Linked DNA regions of Canis lupus familiaris. The protein of the gene in region 2 interacts with the protein of the main gene of each other region in a pairwise test. Links are inferred from orthologs where the notes say so. Each region holds a gene or a part of one and is shown on either strand. Other genes may lie near its edges. The genes, in order: RIOK3 and CASP10.

The links.
Region 1: the proteins of CASP10 (region 2) and RIOK3 interact in binary tests that used the Homo sapiens proteins (3 or more experiments, as listed by UniProt). The link is inferred for Canis lupus familiaris from reciprocal best matches to the Homo sapiens genes CASP10 and RIOK3.

The regions. Positions count from the first base shown.
Region 1 is NC_049228.1:64,909,912-64,914,486, forward strand, and holds the start of RIOK3 (serine/threonine-protein kinase RIO3), read right to left. Parts: upstream 2,967-4,575; 5' UTR 2,798-2,966; coding exon 2,735-2,797; intron 2,492-2,734; exon of another isoform or gene 2,330-2,491; intron 1-2,329.
Region 2 is NC_049258.1:10,183,816-10,187,631, reverse strand, and holds part of CASP10 (caspase-10), read right to left. Parts: intron 3,231-3,816; coding exon 3,095-3,230; intron 1-3,094. UniProt on the Homo sapiens protein: Involved in the activation cascade of caspases responsible for apoptosis execution. Recruited to both Fas- and TNFR-1 receptors in a FADD dependent manner. May participate in the granzyme B apoptotic pathways.

The DNA.
Region 1 (4,575 bases), on a different chromosome or scaffold from region 2:
TGTGGGACTCGATCTAGGGTCCCCAGGATCATGCCCTGGGCTGCAGGCAGAGCTAAACCACTGTGCCACCGGGGCTGCCCTTCATATATTTCAACTAAAACATATCACAAAAGTCTTCTATTAAATCAGACATTAGGGATGCCTGGAAGGCTCAGTTGGTTAAGTATCTGCCTTTGGCTCAGGTCATGATCCTGAGGTCCTAGGTTGGAACCCCTAGTCAGGCTCCCTCTCCCTCTGCCCCTCCCTCCACTCATGCTCTTTGCTTGCTTGCTCTCTCTCTCTCAAAAAAATAAAATCTCAAAAAAAAAAAATCAGACATTAAAGAGATTTGCAAAAATACAATACTAAACCACTATTTTTGTTTGTTTTTTTTTTTAGAAAATGGGGGGGTTACAAATGAAAATTATATTTGTATTAACATATGATGACTTTGAAATCACCTAATAAAAAATTCTTCACTATTTCACTTTTCTTTCTGATATGACAAATATTAAAAGATGTAACTGATATAAACAAAAATTCTTTGGTGTCCTCAATGATATTTTAGAGTATAAATTCATCCTGACCAAAAAGTTTTGAGAATCGCTGGCCTTTGGCACTCTTTCCATTTTTCAAGACCTTCCTCAAATCTCCACCTCCACGAAGCCTTCGATAATCCCTTAGGTCTTCCAAGAGATTGGAGGAAGAAAGCATTAAGAAATACATACAGCCTAACTAACTGTTTGGTCTGTGAAAATGCTGTCTTCCAGTAGAACATCAATAAATTCCAGGATCATTCTTTTTGTTAAATGATGAAAATGAAATTTTATATTTCTGATGATGCATACTTAAATGAAAATATGACAACAAATATTTTATTATTAGTTTTGTAAGTGAAATTTGTTCTGACATTAGGTATTCTAGCGCTCGCTTTGACAGCACATATACTGACATTAGGTATTCTTTTTTTTTATTAAAGATTTTATTTATTTATTCATAGAGACAGAGAGAGAGAGAGGCAGAGACACAGGCAGAGGGAGAAGCAGGCATCATACAGAGAGCCTGATGTGGGACTCGATCCAGGGTCTCCAGGATCACGCCCTGGGCTGCAAGCAGCGCTAAACTGCTATACCACCGGGGCTGCCCTTCTTTTTTTTTTTTTTAAGATTTTATTTATTTATTCATGACAGACAGAGAGGGAGGGAGAGAGAGAGAGAGAGAGAGAGAGAGACAGAGACACAGGCAGAGGGAGAAGCAGGCTCCATGCAGGGAGCTTGATGTGGGACTCGATCCTGGGACTCTAGGATCACATCTGGGGCTGAAGGCGGTGCGAAACTGCTGGGCCACCAGGGATGCCCTGACATTAGGTATTCTGAGCAATGTTTGTCTCATTTGACATTTTTTTTTTATTTGACATTTTAATCAGCCTTTAGGTGCTTAACTGTAAGAACTTAACATATAAAGCATATATTTATTAGTATCTGGCTACTAATTTTCTTTTTATGTCTACTGGTCTTGGCCTCATAAACAAGGCTTAATAGAAGGAAATGACACAAAATAACACGTAGATACAACATTTGCCAATAGATTATTTTAAATTCTCCCTATAGTTGTATGAGAACTTTCATAAAGTTAACTTTAATTAAACTTTCAGGGCAGCCCGGTGGCTCAGCGGTTTAGCACCACCTTCAGCCCAGGGCATGACCCTTGAGACCCGGGATGGGAGTCCCACGTCGGGCTCCCTGCATGGAGCCTGCTTCTCCCTCTGCCTGTGTCTCTGCCTCTCTCTCTCTCTCTGTGTCTCTCATGAATAAATAAATAAAAATATAAGAAGAAGAAGAAGAAGACGACCTAGCCTAAAGATCTAATAAAACAAGTGATCCAAAAATAAATAAATAAATAAATAAATAAATAAATAAATAAATAAATAAAAAACAAGTGATCCTTTAAAAGGAACAAATATTCCGTGACAGCAAGTGAAAAACAATTAGGAAGCTAATAAAAGTTGGACTCCTTCCAACCTTAATTTGAGGAACACAACATCCCAGTTGAAGCATCCCTTAATTTGAAGCAATCCTGCTTTCAAACAAACCCTCAATAAAGCGGCAGAAGAGTCTTTTCATCCCTCTGACAAAATTATCATGCAAAGGGGCAGTCTGAAAACCAAAAACCAAATGTGAAATAAACGTAATAGGTGGTTAATACAGAAAAAGAGTTTAAACCTGAAAGCCTATGCAGATAATAAGAACTCATAACCTTTTTTTTTTTTTTTTTTTTTTTTTTTTCCCACAGTAGGTAGTGTACACCTGAGTATCAGCCCGGGGGAGAGGAGTATCAGCCCTGGACTTACCCAATATTCACTGCTTCAAAAACGAGAAATTGCCCAAGTCGGATAACCGCATTTGTCAAGTTAAGGAAACAGCTGCCAATGTGTCCTTCCCGTCGGGCTTTCCGTGCATTACTCGGCTGACTCGCTCGGCCGGTGACAAACAAGATCATGCTTGTTTCCCCTCAAACGTCAGAGCCTCTAACCGGGCCCGGCCCAGACAGCTGCTAGGGAGGTTCAGGAGTCGAGGCGCAGAACTCGAGAGCGAGCCCCAACCGCCGACAGCGGCCACTGGCAGCCCCGCTACCCGTGCCCCACCCTCCCGAGTCGCCGGCCGAGCCGCCCGGGCGCCTGACACTTTCTCCGGGCCTCCTGAGAGGACCAGCGCGGGTACCCAAGGCAGGTGCGTCAGCTCCGACCGCCACTCACCTTGCTGGGTCCCCAGGCTGCTGCGGGCCTCGGCTCAGGAGATGCCACTCCGACCAGATCCATGTTGGAAGAGAAGCCAGCAACGAGGACACAGGGCAGACAGATGGCAGGACCGGGAAACAGCCTCCTCCGAGGAGACAGGCGGCGGGGCTGGGGCGACGCGCGGCGGGCGCCGGAGCTGAGGTGACAGATGGCGGCGCGGCCGCGGCCGGAACTACATCTCTTCTCTTCCGCCCTCTCCGCCGGGACCCTCGCTTCTGATAGGCTGCCCGCCCCGGTCTGGCCTCCTTTCCCCGCCCCCGGCGCGCCGCACTTCCGGCCGCTGCCTCCGGCCGGGTCTGTCCACGCCGCGGGCTTTGACTTGCGGCCGCGGTGGCCGGTGCCGGACGGAGCCGGCGGCGGGTGTGGCTTCCTCTGGCCGGACTGCGCCGTGTTCCCGCACCTCCTTCTCCTTCCTTCCCCACCTGCCTGCCCGAGACAGCATCTGGAGCTCGTTAAACCGAGGCTGCGTGTTACTCCGGGTATAACAACAAACAAACGAGGCTTCTTCCGTTCCTTCGTTGTTTTCGGGGCTAGTTCTGGTCTGGGATGGTACGGGGGACAGAAAATAGCGGGAGCAGAGGGGTCCGATGTTGTTGTTACGGCAGTTTGCCGTTAGGAAGCGGGGCATAAAAAGGTGAAAATTTGTAAGATGCGTTAAAGAACATTAAGCAGGGATCCCTGGGTGGCGCAGCGGTTTGGCGCCTGCCTTTGGCCCAGGGCGCGATCCTGGAGACCCGGGATCGAATCCCACGTCGGGCTCCCGGTGCATGGAGCCTGCTTCTCCCTCTGCCTGTGTCTCTGCCTCTCTCTCTCTCTGTATGACTATCATAAATAAATTAAAAAAAAAAAAAAAAGAACATTAAGCAAAAAATAGGACTGCCTAATAAAAGCTTTGATTGGTGTTTTGTAGATTCTCCTAAAGTGACCGGATAAAAACAGCTAGGCGTTACATTTCACTTACTATGTTCGTGCTTTGTTCAAAGTACTGTATTAGCTCTCAGTCCTCAAAATAATCACGAGAGGGGCACGTGGGCGGCTCCGGGGTTGAGCGCCTGCCTTTGGCTCAGGTCGTGATCGTGGGCTCTTGGGATCGAGTCCCGCACCAGACTCTCCTCGGTGAGCCTGCCTCCCTCCCTCTGCCTATGTCTCTGCCTCTCTCTGTGTCTCTTACGAGCAAATAAACCTTTAAAAAAAAAAAGTCACAAGAGGTGCATTCTATTTCTAGCATGATCTTGATTTTACCAATAATGAAACGTAGGCACACAGAACTGAAGCAACCTGCTGGAGGTCATATGGCTAAGGAGGGGCAAAGCTAATGCGTCGTGAACCCAGGCACCATGGGCTAGGGGACTGGCTCGATATGTCTACATGTTGACTATTAAGACGTTCCAGACAGAAACGCTCCATAACAATGTTCCTGCATTGCCAGTTCTGGGCCAGGACCCCTGACTGTCTATGCTTGAGATCCCTAGGATACCCACCTTGATGGTTTCCTTTAGCAAACAATTTTTGCCATTCCAGGGCAGGACAGGTTCTGAATCTTCCAGAAACTACAAATTAAAATAAGGCAAAACTATATGATAGAATACAGACTTATTCTTGGCAAAGGTTGCCCATATATATGAATGTATGTGAAAATCACATTCCCTCTTAAGGTTCAAAGGATTACAGTTGAGGTATAGAGGGGCAGCTAGGTGGCTCAGTTGGTTGTCTGCCTTTGGCTCAGGTCATGATTCTGAGATCCTGGGATGGAGCCCTGTGTTAGGCTCCCTGCTCAGTGAGGAGCCTGCTTCTTCCTC
Region 2 (3,816 bases):
GATTAAATAAATATTTTATGTACATAAGACACATTTCTATAGAACCATTAATAAAAAGAGCTATGTCTGTATTATGTACATGGAGAAATGTGAGATGCATTAAGTGGGACTAAAGCAAGTTATAGAATATGATTAGCAGGATTTTAGTTAAATATATATTTATCTAGCTATCTACACACATATACATACAAATTGTCTCTTTATATATTCTCCAAACAGTGCAAACAGTGATTATCTCTAGGGAATGGGCTGGCAGTAAATAAACCTTCTTTGAATTTTTATTTTTGGGGCACCTGGGTGGCTCAGTGGTTGAGCGTCTGCCTTTGGCTCAGAGTGTGATCCCAGGGTCCTAGAATCAAGTCCCACATCAGGCTCCTGCACGGAGCCTGCTTCTCCCTCTGCCTATGTCTCTGCATCTTTCTCTGTGTCTCTCATGAATAAATAAATAAAATATTTTTAAAAATTTATTTTTAATTAAGATACATTATCTTTAATAAGAAATTTAAAATAGTAAAGCAAACATCAAGGCTCAAGAAAATTCAGAAAGCTATCCTAGTGGTCCCCAAATACAGCTTGTGTCCTAATCAGATACAATGGACTTTGACTTTGCATCACATTCACTTGCAGAAAAGTCCAAAATCTGCCTACCTACTATCTTTTCAGTCTTTTAGTCCTTCATCCTAAATGGGAGAAATATACACAAGCTCTTAAACCTATACTAAAGTTAATACTGAAATATTGATATCTGATAAATATATATATATGCATATATATATATTTGGTCTTGCCCTCTTTTTCCTGGCACAGAGCTCCTAAAACTCTTGGAATCTCTGAACTGCTAGATTGTCTCTTGCTAATAAGATGTTAATGAGTTGACTGGTAATTGGGGCTCCTGGGTAGCCTCTGGAGGGAGGCAGTGTGCCAGAGGAATAAACCTGTGGTCAGAAAGTTGGAACTTTCAACCCCATACTCAGACCTCTGGGAAGGGAAGAAGAGCCAGAGCTTGAATTAATCATGATGGCCAATGATTTAAATCAATCGTGCCTATATATGAAGCTTCCATATAGAACTCTAACTGAAGGGGCTTGGAGAGCTTCCCGGTTGGTAACTGACGAAAAAGGTACAGTGTTTGTCCCTGAGAAGTTCAATATATGGGGGAAGAGGCATTGCCAAGTAAATTATCTATATGTGAAGGTGCTGGGGAGGTGAGCTGCCTGGAGAGGGCCTGGAAGCCTTATGCCCCTTCCCTCATACCTTGCCCTATGCATTTCTTATATTTGGCTGTTGCTGAGTCAAATCTTTTTATAATAAAAAAGTAATCTAGTAAGTAAACTGTTTTCCTGAGTTCTATGAGTTCTAGCAAATTACTGAACTGAGGACAGGGTCATGGGAACCCTCAGTTTATAGCCAAATGGGACAGAAGCCATGGGTATTCTGGGGACCCATTAATTTGCAACTGGTGTCTGAAGTAGGGGGCACTCTTAGGGCATTGAGCCCTTAACCTAATTGAGTTAAGGTCTGTGCTAACTCTGGTTAGTGTCAGAATTGAATTAAATCGTTAGACACCCCGATGGTATCTGTAGAGAATTAGAGAATTACTTGGTATGGAAAAATCCTACCCATCTATGTCAGAAATGTCCCAGAAGTGTTGGTGTGATAGGAGCAGAGGACAAGTTTGTTTGTTTGTTTTCTTTTGACATCCAAAAGAGATCAACCAGCAGGTAGGTTGTAAAAAAAGAAAAATCAAAATTAGAAATCTTCTGATATAAAGCTCACATCTTAAGACTCACTGAGCCATTTACTACATAAACATTAGAGTATCTTCTCCAGAGTTCAACTACCCAGAACAATCTGACCACCTGCCTGTTTATTTTGTGTGGGGTACTAACTACAGGAAAATGGGAATGTAATCAGAAAAAAAAATCTTAGCATTCAGAGCTCAGTGAGGATTCCAAAAGTACTTTTGATATCAACTCCCAGCTTTTTATTTCTCATTTGATAACTTAGGTTAGAAGAAACATTTTATTCTTCATAACTTCTACTTAAATTATGCATTTATTCATTACTTTAGTTATTTTGGGGGATTTTAGCAATTTAACAACAGTGTATTTTGTTCCTCAACACATTTTGTATTTATAGAATTCTTAGAGAGAAGTTTCCTTTTAGATAGTTTCGTTTTTAACCAAAGACATTTGCACACCAGATTGACTCCCTGAATTAAAATATGGGTGTGGCATAAAGTTTCATGAATATACTCATGCATTTCTATTTCTGGAGAAAAAGAAATGTGGAGAAAAATAACCTGGAAAAACACAAACTTAGTCTATTGATAAATAGTAAGCAAATCATCCAGGTGTTATTTCCATCCTCTGCTATACCTCTAGCATTACTATATTTACAAAACACAATTAAAAAAACAAACAAGGAAATAAAATTCTTCTTCCTCATACTAATTCTAAGAATATGAAAGTTTTCATGACTTTCTGACAAACATATTTATAGCAACATGTTTTATTCTATGCTAGACATGTATTTTTTTAGGAATTACTTCATTTGACCCTCAAAACACCCACGAGGTATGTACTATTATTATCTCCATTTTATGGGTGAGGAAAGTGAAACAGAAAGGCTAAGAAAAGAACCACTGCCCCATTAATAAGTGGAGTCCTGGTAATCTGACTCGCTAGACCTCATTCTTAATCCCCATGCTACCCCACCTCCTTCATTATTTCACTCAAAACAATTTTCTATCTCTCCCCTCCTATAAAAATGAAAAAAAAAGACATTTATCTTTTTTTTTAAGACATTTATTTAAAACTACTTTTCTTCACTAGAATATAAGCTCCAAGATAGCAGGAGCTTTGCTCTATACATCTTCTAGGCACCTTCTAAAACTGTGCCTAGTTCCGAGTATGCATTCATAAATAGGTCTTGAATGAATAGACAGGGAGAGAGTTCTGGCTTTCCCAAGGGAATATTATCAGAGTGATGAGTAAACATCATATACCACCAATTAGTTTAAGAATTTCATGGTCTTAAAAAAAAAAAAAAAATTTCATGGTCTTGTGCAAGCAAATAAGTGTAAGCTACTTACCTTTCTCTCTTTTGTATCTTTCAATCTTTCTTATAAGGTTAGGTACAACTTTTCTACAGAGATCCTCCAGTAACCCCAGATTATCCTCATCTATTAGAGCTTGTTTCTCCAAATATGCCAGGAAACTTAGAGGGGTCTGCAAGAGAATCAATGGAGTCACATTTACTTGCCTTCTGATGATCCATTCATTCTTTAAACATTACTTGCATGGTCTCTAGTCACCAAGTCTCACAATGACGAAAAAGGTACAGTGTTTGTCCCTGAGAAGTTCAATATATGGGGGAAGAGGCATTGCCAAGTAAATTATCTATATTAATAACAAATACCAAATATACATAACTCACTATATACCAGGCATTACTTGCTATATATTACCTCAAAAACAAGCCAATAAAGCTAGATACTATTATAACCCCCATTTTAAAGATGAAATTACTGGAGTTCAACAACTTGTCCAAACTCACAGAGCCAATAAGTGGCAGAGCTGGTATTTGAACCCTGGCAGTCTGATGTCAAAGGCTCTCTTATTAATTATTGAGCTATACGCGCTGTCACTCACATATGTAAATGACATTAGATTAGGGCAGCAGCAAAACAGAGACACCAAAGATACAAAGGGTAAATATTTAGTATTTTAAAAGAAAAAAATTCTTTTTTTTTTTTTTTAAAGAAAAAAATTCTTAAATGCTGCTGGGAAAAATAGCAAATTGGCTAGTATTATT